Linked DNA regions of Caenorhabditis elegans. The protein of the gene in region 2 binds, or shares a complex with, the protein of the main gene of each other region. Each region holds a gene or a part of one and is shown on either strand. Other genes may lie near its edges.

Region 1 (8,215 bases), on a different chromosome or scaffold from region 2:
TTGCTTGAAAATTTTGTTTCAAATTTCTTGATACTTCTTGAACATGTTTTCACATGATTTCAATCCGTTTGAAAACAAATTTTTAAATAACGGGATACAAACTTATTTGCTTTTTTTCTATCAAATTTATATTGCCGATATGTTTTGTACTATTGATTTTATATGGTTGAATAGAACAGATTAAGGATTCCTAGGTAGTTAGGTAGGTAGCTAGATAGCAGAACAGTGCCTGCCTGCCTTGTACCTACGTTTGCCTACTACCAGAAAAGATGGAAAATGACTATAATTTCCTGATTATTATTCCAGCGAGATATGCGAAACGTTGAGAATATGAGGAAAGAAGTTGAAAAATACAAGGAACTCAATGATATTGTGATGGGAGAATTTGAAAAACTGGAAAAAGAGCGAGATCAGTTGCTGATTGAAGTTGAACGAAACGTTGGAAGACTAGAAATCAGCAATCAACAAAAATTCGAAAAGCTCGAGGAACGCGGAAGAAGATTTTAAATGTTTATTCATCAGTTTTTATTATTCAATTTTTATAATATTTTTCAATTTTTCTCATACAATTATTATTAATCCATAGATATGAAAAGGCACATAAAACTTTTTTTCGATCCGGTATACTTGTCTTATTAAAACGAAAAATTATTTGGAAGAGGGGAAGGGGGGAAATGAGAAACAAGAAAAATGAAAGAAAACAAATATATATATTGAAATTTTGAAACGAAAAAGATGGAATTGGAGCCTAAAATTAAAATTCTTTGGTTTGCAAAAGATTATAGAAATTTAAATATCTAAGCCCATCCTCCTGTAAGTTTGTGGAAAAGTTCTTCATCAAGATTTTGAGAATGTTCTTTGCTTCGCATTGACAGGAAAATGTATCCACCGATGAACTCGTGAACGACTTTGCAATCAGCGGAAAGTGGCTTGAATTCGATATCCTCATCTTCGAATTGAATCTGGAAATTGGGGAGATAGGATGATAAAATAGTATACTCAAAGAAAAAAAGTAATTAATTTCAAAAAGTTTGTTCTCGGTTATTTTCGGGTTTATCTAAGCCTTTTATGTAGGCACAAAACAGATTTTAAAAATTTATTTCTAAAACGCTCAAGGTGCAACGCTGGCATGTAGGCAAATAGGCATGAAGTCTGCCTACCTTCCTGTCAGCACCAAGTTTACCGAAAAAGTTTCGGTCTTTGAGAACATTATCTGATTTAGATTTTAAATTACCAAAGACCTGAATTTTTTAGTAAGTTACGGCGAATAGACTTATGGATAGAAAACAACAATTGAATCAAAAACGCAATATTATAATTTTTGAAACAATACAAAGATTTTTTGAAAGCCAATTGTTCTTTGTGTTTAGATATACATATTAGGAAAGATTTTGAGATGAAAACGTAATTTCAAGACATCACAAAATAGATTAACAATCAGAAAGTTGTTACAAGAAACTTAGATGAATAGGTCTCGAAAACGTTCTCAACATTTTGCAATTTTTCGATTTCCGATCATGTCCAGATCTTAAATATTTTATTCATCAAAAACTAACCTTGAGATGTCGAATTTCCCAGTTGACATGCCACTTCTTCATATTTGCAAACCTCCATGTCTTCAGACTTTCTCCATTATCCATATTCAATTTTGCAAGTCTATTCACAGCAACAGCCACCAATTCCGCCTTTCTAGCATTTCGGAATCTTACAATGAAATAATGAATTCCGTGTTCGGGAAGTGCTTGCCATGCTCGGATATATTGAAGTTTCGCTTCGGTTGCCGTGAGTTGTCGAACATTTCCATGAGCATCTGATACTCGCTGTTGAATTTGTTGCTTGCTGCGTGCTCGTCGTACGTATTTCGACGATATGTACTCATCAACATTGAAATCATTTGGTAGTTTTACAGCGGCGGCTTTTCGCGAAGCTGTGTTGCTGTTTCCGTTTTCGTTTCCATTACCTGAAAAATTGTTTCATTCGAAGAAAATAATTTCATTATCACTTATTAAATTGTAAAATCAACAACTTACCACTTTGCATCTTGAGCAAGTTTTTGATGCTCTCCACCTCCTGTTGATATGACGAATCAGCCATTGACTTCCCTCTGGATGCTAACCGACACGCAGCCATCCACCTGGCATATTGATGCTCGGAATCGCATTTCAAAATGAAGTCAATCATTCCTTCAGCAGTTGGAAGTAACAATTTGATATGATACTTCTGCTGTCCAACTGAAACATCCTGACTAACTTCACATCCCTTCAATGAGAAGTGTCCAAGTGGAGCTGAGTTGACATCTGAGGAGCTTTGATGATATGATAAATATAAGTCACGGAACGAGAAGAATGCCCGTTTAAATCCTTTGAATGCTGCCAATTTCTTTGGTTTCATATATTTCAAATAATCTGCTAACTCGGGAACTTGTGTAAGATCTGATCGTCTGTTAAGAGCAGCTGCGTCAAGGTTTTGCTCAAGCTCGTCCAAAAGAATATCCACATCATCTTTATTATTTTCTTCAGGTTCAGGAGAATCTCTTTGCAGGGTTGCTTGAAGTTGAAGAGCAGCAAATAGTGTGGCTTCTTCCTCTGTGTGATCGAATTCATCAAGTAAAATGCTCCATTTTGCTTGCTCGTAAAGTTGATTAATTCTCACTGGATCATATTTTGGATTCAAATCAAAGAAATTCATAAATTTGAATCGTAGTAAAATAATATCTCCTTCAAAAATTCCTTGTTCCATAAGTGATCTGCTAGAATCAAGCCATCCTCTATTAATCGCAGCTTTTTCCACATAGTTCTGAGGTCTAAATACTGGAGTATCACGGCTTGGAGCAAGTCTTGGTGAATGAATAAGAGCATCATCAAATTGCTCATTTTCAAGTCCTTCACTAAAACTGATGCTTGGCATAATTGGTGTTCTTCTCATCGTATCGTTATATGCTCCTGGCGATGGACTGACACCACGTGGCAATGTTCCGTGGCGAGGAAGAGTTCCCATTTCGTGAGCATTGAAAATGTGTCCAGATTGGGAGAGCGCGGGTGATTGACCACGACGGCGCATATCAAGATTCGATTGAGAAGCAAAGATTGGAGCAGCTTTACGGAGAGTCATTGGTCCAACTGATTCTTCTCCTGGACGCATTGAGAGTGGACCGTTCATGTTGTCGGCGTCAGATGTTCCACGTCGAAGATCCTCTGGTGGAATATATCTGTAATATTTTAAATTATATGATTTTGAATTATTGGGTTATTTCACATGCTCGGTAGTAGTTAACTTTTGACCTTGCTCAAACTTTTGGGGCAGGATTTCGATCAGGCATAGATTTTCCCTAGTTGCTTAAGATTCCCAAGGATCTTCAATCCTCGTTCAACCAACTAAGGAATTTCACAACTCCATTCTTATTTAAATTAAAAATAAAACATCAAAAACTTCCCAATTCCTACTTACCTCTTCAAAGACAATTCCTCTGAATATCGAATACCCAAATCACGGCACAATTTCTTTGTTGCTTTGAATGAATTTACCGAGAAATCAACTCTCGCATCAATCATTTGCATATCTGGTAACTGAATTCTTGCTTCTTTATGCATTGGTGTGAACTCCAATTGTGTTTCAGCTGTAATTCCATTCTGGTCAAGAGTCGATCGAGTATGTTGAAGCCATCGCCGCTTCTCCGGCCACCACAGAGCATGATCAGACCAATCTCGTTCAACATCTGGAAAAATAGAAATATTTGGAGTTTTTTAGATTCTTGTTTCAATACAGCTGTTTTGTAAATTGTTTGTTCAGCTGAAGCCCAAATGATTACATTTTGAACTTGGAAATTAAACACATTGAGCACACAAATTGTTATACCCTAATGCAGAAAATCTTCATCCCTTCAGCTTCTGCAAGTTCTAAAAATCGCGCGAAAACTTAATTCCAAAACGTTTTTATGCGCCTCTCCTATGCGCCCTTTCTGCTCTTGGTCATGATGAATGCCAGTTGCTTCTCAAGTTTTGATACTCTCTCCTGGGACCCCCTATCATTGTGTGCTCTTATATCTCTGCAAGGAAAGCCTCTAAACTTTATGTACCCAACAGCGAATGTCCCATCCGAAACAATCAGCTTATGTAGATGCGCACGCGTGCACTCGAATAGTCAACATTAACAGGGGTTAGGATGAAAAGAAAAAGAAGAAAGAGAAGAGCAACTGGTAGGAGATGAGAAGAGCCCATAAATATTTGATAGGTTCCGCATAGTTTCTATGATGTTTCAAAATGTATAGAGGACTTCTTGTCAACTATTTCGGAGCTCACAGTCCCTAAAAAATTTCGTGAAGATCTCTCAAAAATTAACTTTTTAATTAAACTGTTTTATTCAAAATACGAATTTTCAGCAAACTTGAAAGAATTGTACGAGAAATTTTTCACTTGGCGCACTCTTCAAGGGCTCCGTTACGATGTGTTTCCAAAAGTGTTCCCTATCTTTCCAGAACATTTTTTTCCAGCAGATTTCAACATTTTCCCATGCCTTCAATTTTTACTGATATTGAACATCATTTCGTAATGGTGCACACACCACGTATCTTTTCGTTGTAACAAACGCGTAGGCGCACACAGTGGCAGATATATCTAACAGATTATATTGAGTAGAAAAGAGAGAAATCATGGTCTATTGAGATCTTTGAGATCTTGACCGAGGTGATAAGATTCGAAAAAAAAACTCACCGCATTCGCTAACAAGTTCGAGCATGAGTCCTCCCACATTAAGATTTCCAAGGACAGAGATGCTTCTGGAAGAAATAAATACATTTATTGGAAATTGGAAGACTCTGAGTTTGAAAATGTCTCATTCATGTTTGGAAAAAAATTTAACCGGAATCTTCTGAAAATTTAGGCTAGGGTTTAGGGTAAGGCTTAAACTTAAGCTTAAGCTTAAACTTAGGCTAGGCTTCGGCGTAGACTTAGGCTTATTCTTATAGTTAGTCGTAGACTTAGACTTAGGCTTGGGCCTAGGATTGGTTTAGGCTTAACCTCAATCCGAGAATAACTCAATTATCACTTATTCTGACAAAATGACTTGAATTCAGAAAATGTGCATTGAATCTTTTTCTATAACTTCCTGCAATTGCAGTTATTTAAGAACAACTGCTAAACATGCAGTACTATTGAAAGTTAATATTTTCTAAATATATAATTTTAAATCCTCACCTTTGAATATTCAAATCGGTGACCAAAATTGGCAATTGCCATTTTCCATCAATAATCGAGGTTCCTTCAACAAGATGTGCCATGTTTGAAGTGATTTAGGTAGAACCACTGAGATATTTTAGTTGTTGGAAAGATTAGCAAATTATAGAAACAGTGTATTTTCTCCGTCCACGGTAGATAGAATAGAAAACAAAAAAAACCGCTTAACAACAATCAACAAATCAATAAAAAAGCTATGTGTGGGAGAATATCAGGTAGAGAGGAACGTGTATACAGAATAAAATAAACGAAAAAAGAGGCTAGAGAACATTGAAGAATGAGAGAATGAGAGAAAAGACTGCCGATGCGGACGAACAAACGGACGGCCGGAGCAGTACACACTCTTCGTCTCTGACTCACAGCAACACCGTCTCTCCGCTTCTTTTCTCACTCTCTATCTCTCTGACTCCCTATCTGTATGTTCCAAAATGCAATGAGAGAGCGAGAGAGAGTGAACAGTTGTAGAAGAGACGGAGAGTTGAAGGACACTCGGCAGGCGGCTACGCGGGAATGGGAAGGAATGACAGTAGGCGATGCTGCTGTAGATGAAGGAAAAGAAGAAGACAACATTACACAAAGAGTCCCGTCCCCCGGCTGGCAGAAAGATTTGGCAGAAGAAGGAGGAGGAAGATGCCAGGAAGCAGCTTCTGAAGGGACATTGGACATGAGAGAGAGAGAGTAAAAGTATAGGATATCACGGGTAGTTGGGTATGAATGGAGAAGTGCAATGAAATGGAGAAAGGTGTATACTAGTTTCTGAATTAGAATATCTGGATAATGTGAACATTTGTGAACAATGTGAACTACGTAGATCAATGGGACACTCTAACACCACGTGTGAAGTTCATACTGTGAACACTTGGTAACCTCGTCTTTTATGGTGCAATTGATAAAAGTTCAGATTTTCCACAAAAGTAACTATCCTTTACAGTATATTAGAAATGGTAGTGAAATTTCAATATGCGCTGACACAAAATGCTAACTTCTTGTCCAAGTCTGGCTCAAAAGAAATATAAACTTGGTACAAAAGTTGCTTATAAAGCGTATGCAAATTTTTTTGGCGGCGTTAAAAATCAAACTTTTTGACCTAATCGTTTTTTGAATCGTTTTAAAGTTATATAAGACATTAACAAGAGTTGGATCAAACTTGAAATAAGCTCAGAAATTTTTTGGACGAAGAATTTGAGCACTGTGTATACGGGAACACAAAACTCTGAGAATGCATAGTGCGCAAAATATCTCGTAGCGAGAACTATATTAATACTTAAAATGACTACTGTAGCGCTTTAGTCGATTTACGGATTTTTGAAATGATTTTCTTTTCGAATAGTGACATCGATATTCATTTTTCTTCGTTTCCTCGTATTAGTTTTTAATTTTCGGCTTAATTTCAATATTCAATCGATAAATCAATGTTTCCGAAATTTAAATCGAAATTTAAAGATGTTAAAGAATTACTGTAGTTTTCCCTACGGGATATTTTTTGTGTCAAGGAATAACCTTGTAGCCATTTAAATCAAACTGATATTTTCAGCTATCACTTAACGTTTCTTTGTTTTTATATCCTATGCAGTATTTCTCGGCACGGCACGACATGTTGTCGCGCGCGACTGACAAAAAAATTAATTGATGACTACGGTAGATTGCGAAGTACGCAGAGGCTTTTGCGTACTTCGCCATAACTTTACGAGCAATTGTTTTCATTGTTTTTCAACAATTGCAATCTTATTTTTGAACTTTTTACTCTGTTTTCTTTAGTTTTTTTGGCCAATATTCGATTTATTTGTTTGAAAATTTATATTAAACGTTGAACATCACGTAAAACTTTTATTTGTGTCGGGTTTCTCCGTGAAAAATTGTACTTCATGATAAAAATAACTTTTAATAGTTTTCAGAGCTAAAGTTCGGCATTTTCCTATGTTTCTGTGTTATAAAATCTTGTTCAAAACAGAGAATTATCAAAAAAAAAATCCCGAAAAAATAGTGGATATTAAAAAAAAATCCGTAGAGTCAGACAATTAAAAAAAATAATTTCCTCGCATTTTCTTCAGTGCCTCTTAAATCATCGAGCAAATTGAAGAAAATGGGCCCAATAACTTCACGAATAAGAATTTTCCTTCCCATTAGAACTATCCGTTTTTCAGTGAAGTGCATATAACTCCAAAATTTCGCATTATCCTTTTAAAAAAAACCAACACAAATTCTACAAATGTTCGAAGAAACGGTTTTTTTTCATCTATTTTCATTCCTGCGCTTAATTTTTGTCATTTTTCTGAAAAAAAAAACCGAAAATCTGGTTTCCTCTATGCTTGCAGGCTTATTTCTATTTTAATCCATATTTTCATTGCCAAAATTAATTTGAAATTTATTCAGATCGCATTATAATGAACCCGAAAAACAAATCATCAACAATCATTTCGAAAAACGTCGAGGAGCTGCTTCCGACACTATTCCCCATCACAGAAGTTCGAAGTTTCGGAAAAAAGTGTCGCAGTATCGAAATTTCGAAATCCTATTTAATCAACAGAGCTCTCGTCTCAAATCTAGACATCGAGCCGGACGAGCCAATTGTGAGGATTCGAGGATTATTGGCATTTCATCATGAACTTCAAGAAGATTCTCGAAATGTGAACTTTCTATTCACATACGGATGTGTCTGTTTGGATGCTCGAGGGACTGGAAATAATCCTGGAAGATTTGTCCGAAGAAGCTGCTTTCCGAATAGTTATCTTAGTTATGAAAGAAACAATACAGAATTCCATATAATTATCAAAGCAAGAGACTTCATTCCATATGGACATGAGATTACTATCGATTTTAATGACGATTTCTTTCCTTTGAATTGTTCATTAAAATGTACTGTGCACTTGGAGGATTCTGAGAATTGTCGACGGGAATGGAAGAGAAAGTATATTCAGAATGATGGTTATTGGAAACCGCCGGAACTCTCTGTATGTTGAAATGTGCCGAATTTAAGAAAATTG
Region 2 (10,330 bases):
AAATGTGAAAAAATCGCGAAAATCGAAAAAAGAAGATCCAGCGGAAGCAGAAAAATTGATGAAACAAGCACTTGAAGAGTATCTTCCAAAATATTCAGAACTTCTTCCAATTATTCTTGCTAGAGGTACAGTAACCCTCTTCAAAAACTTGGCATTGACTGCTAAAGATGCTATGACACCTAAAGAAGTTGAACCTGAAGAACCAACAGAAGAGGAGTTGGCTCAACAGAGAAGGCAACAAAGAGCAGCAGCGGCACCCCAGCAACTAGAGTTTAAATTTGAAGTGGCTCAAGGTATGAAAGCAGTTTCCACAAATGATCCTGAGATGGAGAAAAAGTATGCAGCAGAAAATGAAGTTGTAGCACAGAGTAAGTTAATTTATCAGAAAAAAGGTTTCTGAACTCTACTCAATGATCTTTTAATTTCAGAACAATCTGGAGCAACATGGACGCCTGATGAATTAGCTAGTCTGGTTCGACTGAGCACTGAAAAATACCCGGCTGGAACACCGAATCGTTGGGAACAAATGGGTCGAGTTTTGAATAGAAGTGCAGAAGACGTTATTGCAATGGCTGGAAAAATGAAACAGATGAAGCAAGAGGATTATACGAAATTGTTGATGACAACTATTCAACAATCAGTACCAGTTGAAGAGAAATCAGAAGATGATTGGAGTCAAGCTGAGCAGAAGGCTTTTGAAACCGCATTGCAGAAATATCCAAAGGGAACTGATGAAAGGTTAGCTTGGAAACTAGAAATGGGTATTTTGAAATTGAGAACGCTCATCCTCCAAGCGTTGGGTTTCGTTAGGTATTGACGGTAAAATTTCTGGGTCCCCATAATATAATATCCAGAGGAATGTTTTAAATATTAAATTTCAGGTGGGAAAGAATCTCCGAAGAAATTGGAAGCAAAACGAAGAAACAAGTGATGGTCAGATTCAAGCAATTGGCTGAGATGATTCGAAAAAAGAAAACCAATGATACCTAGTTTTGTCATAATATTTATTCCGTTTTTTTGTTGGTCGGGTTTGATGAAATTCCAAAATTTATTGTTTTAGACGCGTTTTAAATATTTATTTATTTATTAAATTTTTATTAATAAATTGATGATAATAAAAGAAAAAACATCAAAAATATCGACTAGAAACATGTCAATGTATTGGTAATTAATTGGAAAACAAAGAAACATAATATGAACATATAAAGCACCAAATTGAGCGGAGATTCCGAAAAACGATCGAACATGAAAGTAAGATTGGGGGGCAAGGCACGACAAGAGGACTAAATTGGGACCAAAATGATAATTTTAAAAAGACACCCGCAGATGTGAATAGTAAAGAATAAGGAACAAAAAATGGAAAATATTATAGCATTTGTCCGTGACGTCCCTGATTGTACTGATCTTGTGATGTATAACGGGATTGACTATCAGCGTATTGAGCATTTGGTTGACGGTCGGCACGGAGTTCTGCATGCTCAGTTGGTGGACGATTACGTTTGAAGAAACCACACTGAAAATTAGATTATTATTATTTATTTTCTGAGGGAAACTGTAAATTTGTTTCGAAATTGGTTGTATACTGTAGTCGCTCTGATCTACCTATATTCTACAGTACCCCCGACGTAAGCTCGCCGTGGACGTTGCTGTGAAATTTTCGAAAGCGTGTGAGCACAGCTTTAATGTCGTAGGCAACTTCTTTTAAATTCAGTTTTTCTTAATCTTTGTGACAATCATTTTTTACCTTTCGAAAATGGCAGAGTTTGAACCATAAACTTTTCTCGCGGCGAGGCCCATCCGAATAAATCAATGAGGCTTTGAGAAACCGCTTCACAAAATTGGAAATTAAGATATAATTTTTGCTGCGTCACAAGTAAGCATGAAAGTTGGCGAAAGAACTTTAATTTAACTTGCAAGCCAATATCTATGTTGTTATGTAATAAATCGTATTTTTGAAAATTAAATTTGAAACTCACCCTCCAGAGCAGTAAAATAAGAAGAATCAAAATGGCAAGTCCAATAAGAATAGCCAAAAGATAAAGCCACCAAGGAAGATCTCTTCCTTCTTCAGAAGCAATTGCATTCATATTTGTAGATACTGCTGTTATCAATGTTGGCTTATGTGGAAGATTGTATTTAGTAGATGTGACACGAGCAAGAGCCAACGATGAAATGTCTCCTCCAGGATTTTTCTCATCAACCAATGTGTTTGTGTATAATCTAGAGAAGATTTCCACAAGTACAAACTCGTCTTCTTTAAGATCATAAATATCACATTCAATATGTGTACATCTCAATGAATTACAATCAACAGATGCTCTTGATAGTGGTCCCTTATAATCAACAACTCCTCCAGCTTCCTTCGAAAGTTTAACAGCTTCACGAAGATCAGAGAATCTAGCCTTATCACTTCTTGGTTCACCACGGTGTTCTCCTCCCTTCTTCTTCTTCTTTGGTGTTGGATTTCTTTTAACTCTCTTACTTCCAGCTCTATCAAAATCTTCATCATCTTCCTCTTCAAAATCATCTCCATCATATTCCTGATCGTCTGGAATATATTCATAATCTCCCTTCTTCTTTTTATCCTCAACATATTGCCAATTTCCAGTATTCTGACGAATCTTCTCCTCGTCTTTTTCGTATACATGTACTGGACCAGATTGATGATGAGTTTGATGTTGTGTAGATTGATGACGTGTTGATTGGGATTGAGTTGTTGTTTCATCTTCATATGATTCATCATCTTCTTCTCTTGAATATTCATTTGGTGTCTTGGCAACTGGTGGTTCAGTTGGAACATGCTCATTTGTTATCTGAAATTTTAATTCGTTTTTAATGTGCGACAGTAATTTTTTGTGAACATTTATAAAATAAGATGTTCAGGATTCTGAATTGAAAAAAGTGAAGTTTGTCAGCCCGAACCGGAAAATCAATTTTTTTTGTGATATTTCAGCATATTCGATTGTTTCCAATATTTTTTTTTAACTCGCCGATTCTAAACATTTCAGAAACTGACGAAAACAATTCTTCAAAATTTCCCAAGAAATTTGAATTTTATCCTAAAAATGATAAAGTTTCTTACTTCTATTTCTAAAACAAAATAGTTCCTTCCGTATTTCACTGCAATTTTAAATGTACAGAGTTATAAAATTCAGTGTCTACAGAAATTGGGGATTTGCAACGACTATGAGATCGTGGCAAGACCCACTCAGAAAAACAGCGTGTACCTTTAAAGTAATGTCTAGAAATTTAAAAATTATTCAAACGTACCCTCAAATTCAATGGATTAACATTTTGCAGTTGTTTGACCCGACATCTTCCTTTATTTGGTGGATTAACAACTGGTTCTGTGATAATGTACAGAAGATGACCTCCTTCAGTGGAAAATGATGGCCAGAAGATATCCAAAGTAGCTGAGTCAACCTCAGATGGACCACGATTACTGATTTGATAAAGATGTGAAACAACTGGACCAATTTCATTGTCATCGAAAGCATCTACACGTGTTTTGTTCGTCATTGAGAAATCGACTTGTTCGGGATTTGATCTACCATTCAAACTCAATTGATTCTTAAAATCAACTGGAATAGTGAATGTGACTTTATTATCAGCAACAGTATGAGCTTCTTCATCATTACTACTGTTCACATGAGCATTAATACTGATTGGAGCAAGTGGAGGTTTATCAGAAGAAGCAGTCACTCTTACAACACTACTAACTACTTTGTTAGCTGGAAGTGGATTGCCGAGATCACATGCAAAAGTCCATTTTCCATCCGAATCTGGTTCATCGGAAGTTGGAGAACAAGCTGGAGCAGACTTGCTTCCATCTCCACCAACACTTTCAATTCCACCGTATTCGAATCCTTGTGGAACATCGAAATAAAGTTTTGTCTCATATGAATCTTCTCCTCCATTTTGAACTGTTACATTGATAAGCATTGTATTGTCTTGAGTTCCCAAAAGGAATTTCTCACGATCACTGAAAAAATATGTTTAAAAGAATTTAATTGCTGGCATTTGGTTTATAGGTTTAGGAATAATTATTTTAATGATATGATTTCACTGAAAATTTCGCCGATTCCGTGAAGAAAAGAAACATACAATCTTCGTGGAATTATTTTGACAGGAAAATCCTGAAGCAAACATTTTAAAAATGGCTGTGAACTTGTCTCATTATAAAAAATGTTTTGAAAATTGTCGAGTTAGGTTACATTGTATTTTGTGTTATATTCAATTTTTCTCGCTCATTTCCTTATATTTTTTTGAAAATTTTAAAATTAGAGTAATGATTAAAACATTTCGAGACAAACCCATTTTTTCAATAATTTTTCAAACTTACTGTAATGAGGATTTTCAATGTTTCCCTTTCTTTTATATTCAATGAAAAAATGGCATATTTAATGTATTTTTTCAACACTTTTTATCGATCATTTTGAAAATTAAAAAAACTTACGCAACAGCGGTAACCTTCAAATCAGGAACACAAAGATCATCTTTTCCACAATTATTTGCAATATTAATCTTATTTTGGAATGAAAGTGGTACAGTTGTGTCAATTGCTGGTTCAAGCTTATCACCACGAAGTTTTCCGGTTTTTGATTCAACATATGTGTAGTTGACGGACCAATGAATTGGGGAGAGCTTGTCTCTGAAATTATTTTATTTTTGATTTTTAGAAAACATTTTATTTTCTAATTTGAAGGTTTGCAAAGCATACGAACTATTTTACATTCAAAAATTAGCCTTGAACTTTTTTTCACAGCAGAGCAAACATTTTCTCAATTTTTTCTGATAAAAAAATTTAAAAAGTTGTGGTCATTTTGAGTTGAAAAACTTTGAAAGAAAATCAAAATATTTTCTCTGAAAACTCACTTCATTGTGGAAGAAGCAAAGAATCGATGTCTGAAACACTTTTGTCGTCCCTTCTCAAGACGAACACGTTGTTCGATTGAAGATGGATGGTCTCTTGTTTTAGATCCTTGTGCAACTTTAATGCTTCTGTCAGATTTCTGAAATATTATTATTGTGTTAAAAATTTTTATCTAGTTTTAAAAAAGTGACCTACCACATCTTTTTGCAAGAAATAAGCTCTTGGTTCAGGAGAATGATCATCAAGATTGAATCGAAGATCAAATTCCAAATCATTTGGTGTATCTCCTTTTCCTTCATATTTGAAACATGTATTAATATGTTTGCATGCCTGTTTTCCCAATTTTCCATCAACATCGCAATTCTTATCTTCTACACTGATCAATGCACTCTCTGGTTCAGTTTGTCCCGTGACAGTGACAACTGGTTTTGTGAGTAAAACAGCTGCATTTCCAGATTTCCATGCTCCAACTGCAATGTCTGGCATTCCATTTCCATCAACATCTTCGTTTCCAGTAAGGGAGAAGCCAAATGATTTGATATTTCCATGACCAATATTGGCTCCTTCGATCTTCTGAGTTGGTAGTTCGCGAACACCATCTTTGGATCCGTGGATCACATAAACAGCTCCTTGTTTGTTTTTTCCAGCATATGGTGCACCAACAATTACATCTGAAAAACACTATTTTGTAATTTAAAATTTCCAACAAAAAATGCAATAAATTTCCATAGCGGTTCAAATGAGATTGAAAGTTCAAAATGCCGCACAAATTTCCGATAATCTAGGATTTTTTATGTCTAAAGAAATTGTTAAATTAAGAAAAAGAAAAGTGAAAATACGAAAACTAAATTTGAATTTCCGCGTAAAATAATTTCTGTGAGAAATTCAAATTCGTTCATTTTTAGTAGCAAAATCCCTACCATTATAACCATCCAAATTCAAGTCTCCAGCTGCTGCGACTGCGTGTCCAAATCGTCCCCACTGATCATCTCCAACAACTGCAATCTGTTTTCCAAAGACTCCTGGAGCAGTTTGAAGCATCACAATGACCTTTCCGACATCGTATTGTGGTTTTCTTTCTTGTGTTTTTGCGTCTTTCACGCTACCGTAATCTGTGTAGAATGGGCAGCCCATGATAATGTCGTCGCGTCTGAAATTAATACAGAGAATATTTAGAGAATTGTAATTTTATGTGTTTGTGAATCTCACTTACCCATCTTTATTTACATCAGCAACTGCAACAGATCCTCCACAATATTGTCCATGTTGAGTTGACACCTCATCAGTCAAATTGATCATCATCTTCAGTTTCGACGTGTATAACACCAATTTTCCGTGCAAATCGTTTCCACGTGGAACTCCGGCAACAATATCATCAATACCATCTCCATCAAAATCTCCAGTTGCTGTAGAATATCCCATCATATCGTGATCGTATTCCTTGCTACCGTACTCGGTATTCGGGCGGTCTGTCTGATTTTTGATGTTCTGTGAGAACATTGCTCCTTGCCAATACCACACACCGGGGGCTCCAATAAAAACACGATTTTGATTCTTCTTTCCTGGAACTGCAGCCGAGAATCCGCACTGACCGTATCCAAGACGATGACGACCGTGGCGAGCAGCTGTAATTTTTCATCTAATTTTTTATAAAGTTACCAATTGTTCGAACTCTGAACTATTCCAAAAGGTTCAACAATTTTCAGATTTTTTTCAGGAGCCTCTAGAAGTTTCTAGAATTTTCCAAAAAAATCTCAAAATTTTAAGACGTTTTTAACAGTGTCTTGAGGGTTGCAGAAACTTTTCAAACTATTAAAATATTCCTGCAATTCCTCAAAATTTTCAGAAGTTTCTAGAACTTCCCAGAACTTTCTTTTCTCGAACTCCTTTTTCCAAAACTACAGTACCCCTGCAGTACCAATTAAGTATCCCCAAAACATACGTTCTTGTTTGCACGATGAAAACTCCTCCGCATTATCAAATCCATTTTCAGCATAGAAACAGGTTCCAACTGGCTCAATAACTTCGAATTTTGAGTAGAAATATGTGTATTTTGGAGCACACACCTGGAAATTTAATTTTTAATTTTCAAACTCCGCAGAATAAACCTACCACAATTTTATCATGCTTATCATTTGATCGAACAGTTGCACCAAAGAATTGATGTGATTTTTCTTCAATTGGAACAAGATGTGATCCATTGAGTTTCTTCAAGTTTCCCTTCATTTTATCCACGTGGACTTCTCGGCATGTTGCCCGGTTCACGGAGCAAGCATAAACTGCTCCAGGTCTTCGGATTCCAGCCAGGTTTGGGTTATTGCTTTCAGCTTCAGGGGCACCGACAACGAGGCTGAAATTTTTGAATGTAAAATCTGTTCAGTTAATTCAATAACTTACACAGGCATTCCCTTCTGCTCATGGTAAAAATCGAGTGAGTATCCAAAGTAGTTACCAGCCATGTGATGAACCACTACATTTTTTGTGTCGATGTTGAAGGTGGCAACTCCGGCTAAAAGGCCCAGTAAGCCTAGAAGCAAGCCGATCCTTCGCGGAAAACTACCCTCTCGCATCTACTGGAAATTTGGAATTCGGTTTTTTGAAAACAATCAGAAAGAAGTTTGCAACGAGTATACGGAAGATGAAACGATTTTAGAAGTTGATTGAATAGAAAAAAAATTTCAAAATCTCAAATTCAAAAGTTCCAAGAAATATTTTTGAAAGGGAAAATAAAGAACTTTGCTTGAATTTTAATTTTGGAACGTTTTTCATGTCTAAATGAATTAAATTCAAAGTAGCGACCAATTTCACTGAGATAATTTCAAATTCTCAGTTAACATGTGGATCAATGAAGCCTAATCGGTGTCTTTTCCAAAAACCGGAAGGAAGGAAAAATGGAATTGAACAGAGCACACGCGATTGCGAAACAAAGAACTGACCCTCCGAAGACGACAAGTCATTTATAATTGAGAAGGGAGCTCTACGAGCATTTGACACACTCACATTGAGTCATGAACATATCAAGAAATGAATTGAACGAACAGGAGAAGTGAGCGAACGGAAATTAACGGGGGAACAAAATGACCCGTGACACGTGGAGCAAGATTGATGAAGAAGCAAAGTAAGGAGCAATTCGAATTTTGCATAAATCTCAATATTTGTTGTGTATTGAGCGAGAGCCAACAACAATATTTTCTCAAATGCTCAATTGAACTATTTCAAAATGTTTTGACTGTTGAAAGTTGTTTGCTGGAACCTCTAGCTTTTGAGTTGTACTCATTCGAAAATCTTTAAAATTACCGGAGAACCCTCAAAATATTCAGAATATTGGCTGGACTACGAGTTAAAAATCAGAAATTCGAAGTTTGTGAAAAACGTACAAAAAGGAAATTCCGAAACAAAACTGGCATCTGGAGACTCATAGTTATCCCATGAATTTCCGAAAAATACGATGAGTCAAGAGTCGTTTGAAATAGAGAAGGGAGGAAGGGACACATAGTTTCTTCAGTTTCCGGATAGTTATCAAACATATGTCTAATGGTGAGAGAGTGTGAGAGACGAAGAGACGTAGACATTGATGGAAGCATGAATTGAGGATGAAATTGGGAGGATGGAAGGGGGCGGAGGAAGAGGCACCACTTATTTGGGGACACGAGAAGCAATTAGTTTGGAATCAAGTAGATATGCAGTTACTATTTTTGAAACACCAAAGAGATTTTCTAATATTTTGAAAAACTTGCAAAATTATTATAATAGTAGACGTTCAATCTGACCAGACCAAAATTTGATAATTGAATTCAATTTTTGAACCTACTTGGAATATCAGGGAAACTTCCTGCCAAAATTCGACAATAAGTTGCCACAGATTTTAAAGTTTTTAAAGTTTCAGTTTTCACAGTGAAATCTAGTTAATTCAAGTACATAAATATTGTGGTCAAAAACGTATTGCACCAATACTAATAGAACAAATACGGCACTTTCTCCAATATTTGTAGTATGTGTTTTAAAAATCACGCCTACTTGAAGCCCATCAGTATACGAACAACATTTTATATATTGGTGAAAAGTTCATGTAATAGAGAGTATTGGGATGTGGGCATGAAGTAATTGTCAGTAGAATCCAAGATATGGTTGACTGGTGACTGTTCCCTCTCCGACAAAAAGGTCATGTTTTGAATAGAGAGGAACAAGTGATAAATTGAGGGAACGGGGGGAGGATGAATTAATTGGGTGGTTAGGAGGAAAATGAATTTTTGGAAAAAAAAGATGTCGACAAGATTTAAGGGAAGTTAAATTAGGAGGTAGGTTTTGAAAAAAGAATCTTAAATTGATGGGTCATTTGTGAAAAGTAACGTTGACTAACTAAGCAACAAAAAAATCATAATCCCTTCTATAAAGATTAATAATCTTCATAATAGCTTTTCAACTAATACATGGTGAACATTACCGTTTCATTACAACCTAAAACAATTAAATATTTATTACCGATCATTCTTTTTGATTGTCAAGAATTGCAATCATAGGAAAGTCGAACATTTATAGAATTCAAATCGGCGACGCACAAAGGTATCAATGTTAAAACCAAGCATTTTACTATTATAATAAAGTACTTAATTGTGCGAATTATACGATCTTAGTCAATAAAACAATTTCCAGAAATTTCATTTCCAAATCCAGGAATAATAAATCAAAGAATCCCAAGAGCAGGTGGTGCAGGTGCTCATGGAGCACACTTTTTGAAGAAAGAATAGGGGTCTCGCCGTTGGTAGTGAATTCTCAATGATGCATTCGAGCGAGAACAATTTTTTTTGTTGAAAGAAGAATGTGAGACATTCGGTGAGACAGAGAATATTCAGAGTGTCGAAAATGAACAATATACTCTTTGCAGGAAAATTACTGAAGAAGCTGGGTGTTGGAATTTTTTAGATGGATTTATAATTTAGTATAGAAATGCCAAATTTTTGTCTGAAATCAGATAAGAGCTTGGTTTTTACACAATATTTTATTTGATTTTTGAAAAACATTTGATGATTACTTGATACTTTTTAATTCAGAAAACAGCGGGATAGCCTATTATTATTGGAAAAAAATGTCAAGAAGGGTTTGAATAATAGACGTAAATAAGGGCCTACGAAGAACCTTAAAACTTCAAGTTTTACGTATGATTTCTTCACTCAGAACTGAGCAAATTATGTTGTCGATTTATGTTGAGAACTGTTCGATTGTACAGTCCTCTAAAAAGATTCTCCTAAATAATTTTTTAAAAAGCTTTAATCCCCTGAGAAAAAAATCTACGAAGCTACGGTTACTGTAGCTATTGTGTTTTTTTTTTAAATAATGAGTTCCCACTTTTTGAGATTTCACAACTCGATATGCAAAATTGTAGAAAAATTCAATGAGATCAATATCAAAAATCATAAAAAGAAGAGAAAACGGAAAGTTGAGAGACTGGATAAAGTG

What was found. The genes of interacting proteins can lie anywhere in the genome.
Region 1: pat-2 (region 2) and unc-112 share a complex: the UniProt entries of both Caenorhabditis elegans proteins name them as parts of the integrin containing attachment complex.

The regions. Positions count from the first base shown.
Region 1 is NC_003283.11:14,691,355-14,699,569, forward strand, and holds unc-112 (Protein unc-112), read right to left. Parts: upstream 5,301-8,215; 5' UTR 5,276-5,300; coding exon 5,193-5,275; intron 4,775-5,192; coding exon 4,710-4,774; intron 3,716-4,709; coding exon 3,448-3,715; intron 3,209-3,447; coding exon 2,031-3,208; intron 1,961-2,030; coding exon 1,557-1,960; intron 963-1,556; coding exon 798-962; 3' UTR 508-797; downstream 1-507. Other genes in the region: gasr-8 (uncharacterized protein), read left to right, coding at 307-507; set-5 (SET domain-containing protein), read left to right, coding at 7,616-8,182. UniProt on the Caenorhabditis elegans protein: Component of an integrin containing attachment complex, which is required for muscle development and maintenance. Probable regulator of cell-extracellular matrix adhesion. Required during initial muscle assembly to form dense bodies and M-lines.
Region 2 is NC_003281.10:8,816,015-8,826,344, reverse strand, and holds pat-2 (Integrin alpha pat-2), read right to left. Parts: upstream 7,447-10,330; 5' UTR 7,444-7,446; coding exon 7,271-7,443; intron 7,224-7,270; coding exon 6,986-7,223; intron 6,940-6,985; coding exon 6,816-6,939; intron 6,499-6,815; coding exon 6,087-6,498; intron 6,024-6,086; coding exon 5,794-6,023; intron 5,545-5,793; coding exon 5,069-5,544; intron 5,013-5,068; coding exon 4,876-5,012; intron 4,784-4,875; exon of another isoform or gene 4,692-4,783; intron 4,652-4,691; coding exon 4,457-4,651; intron 3,983-4,456; coding exon 3,271-3,982; intron 2,814-3,270; coding exon 1,977-2,813; intron 1,514-1,976; coding exon 1,367-1,513; 3' UTR 1,071-1,366; downstream 1-1,070. Other genes in the region: F54F2.9 (DnaJ homolog subfamily C member 1), read left to right, coding at 1-368, 429-738, 882-990. UniProt on the Caenorhabditis elegans protein: Required for muscle development probably through the regulation of the actin-myosin cytoskeleton. Component of an integrin containing attachment complex, which is required for muscle maintenance.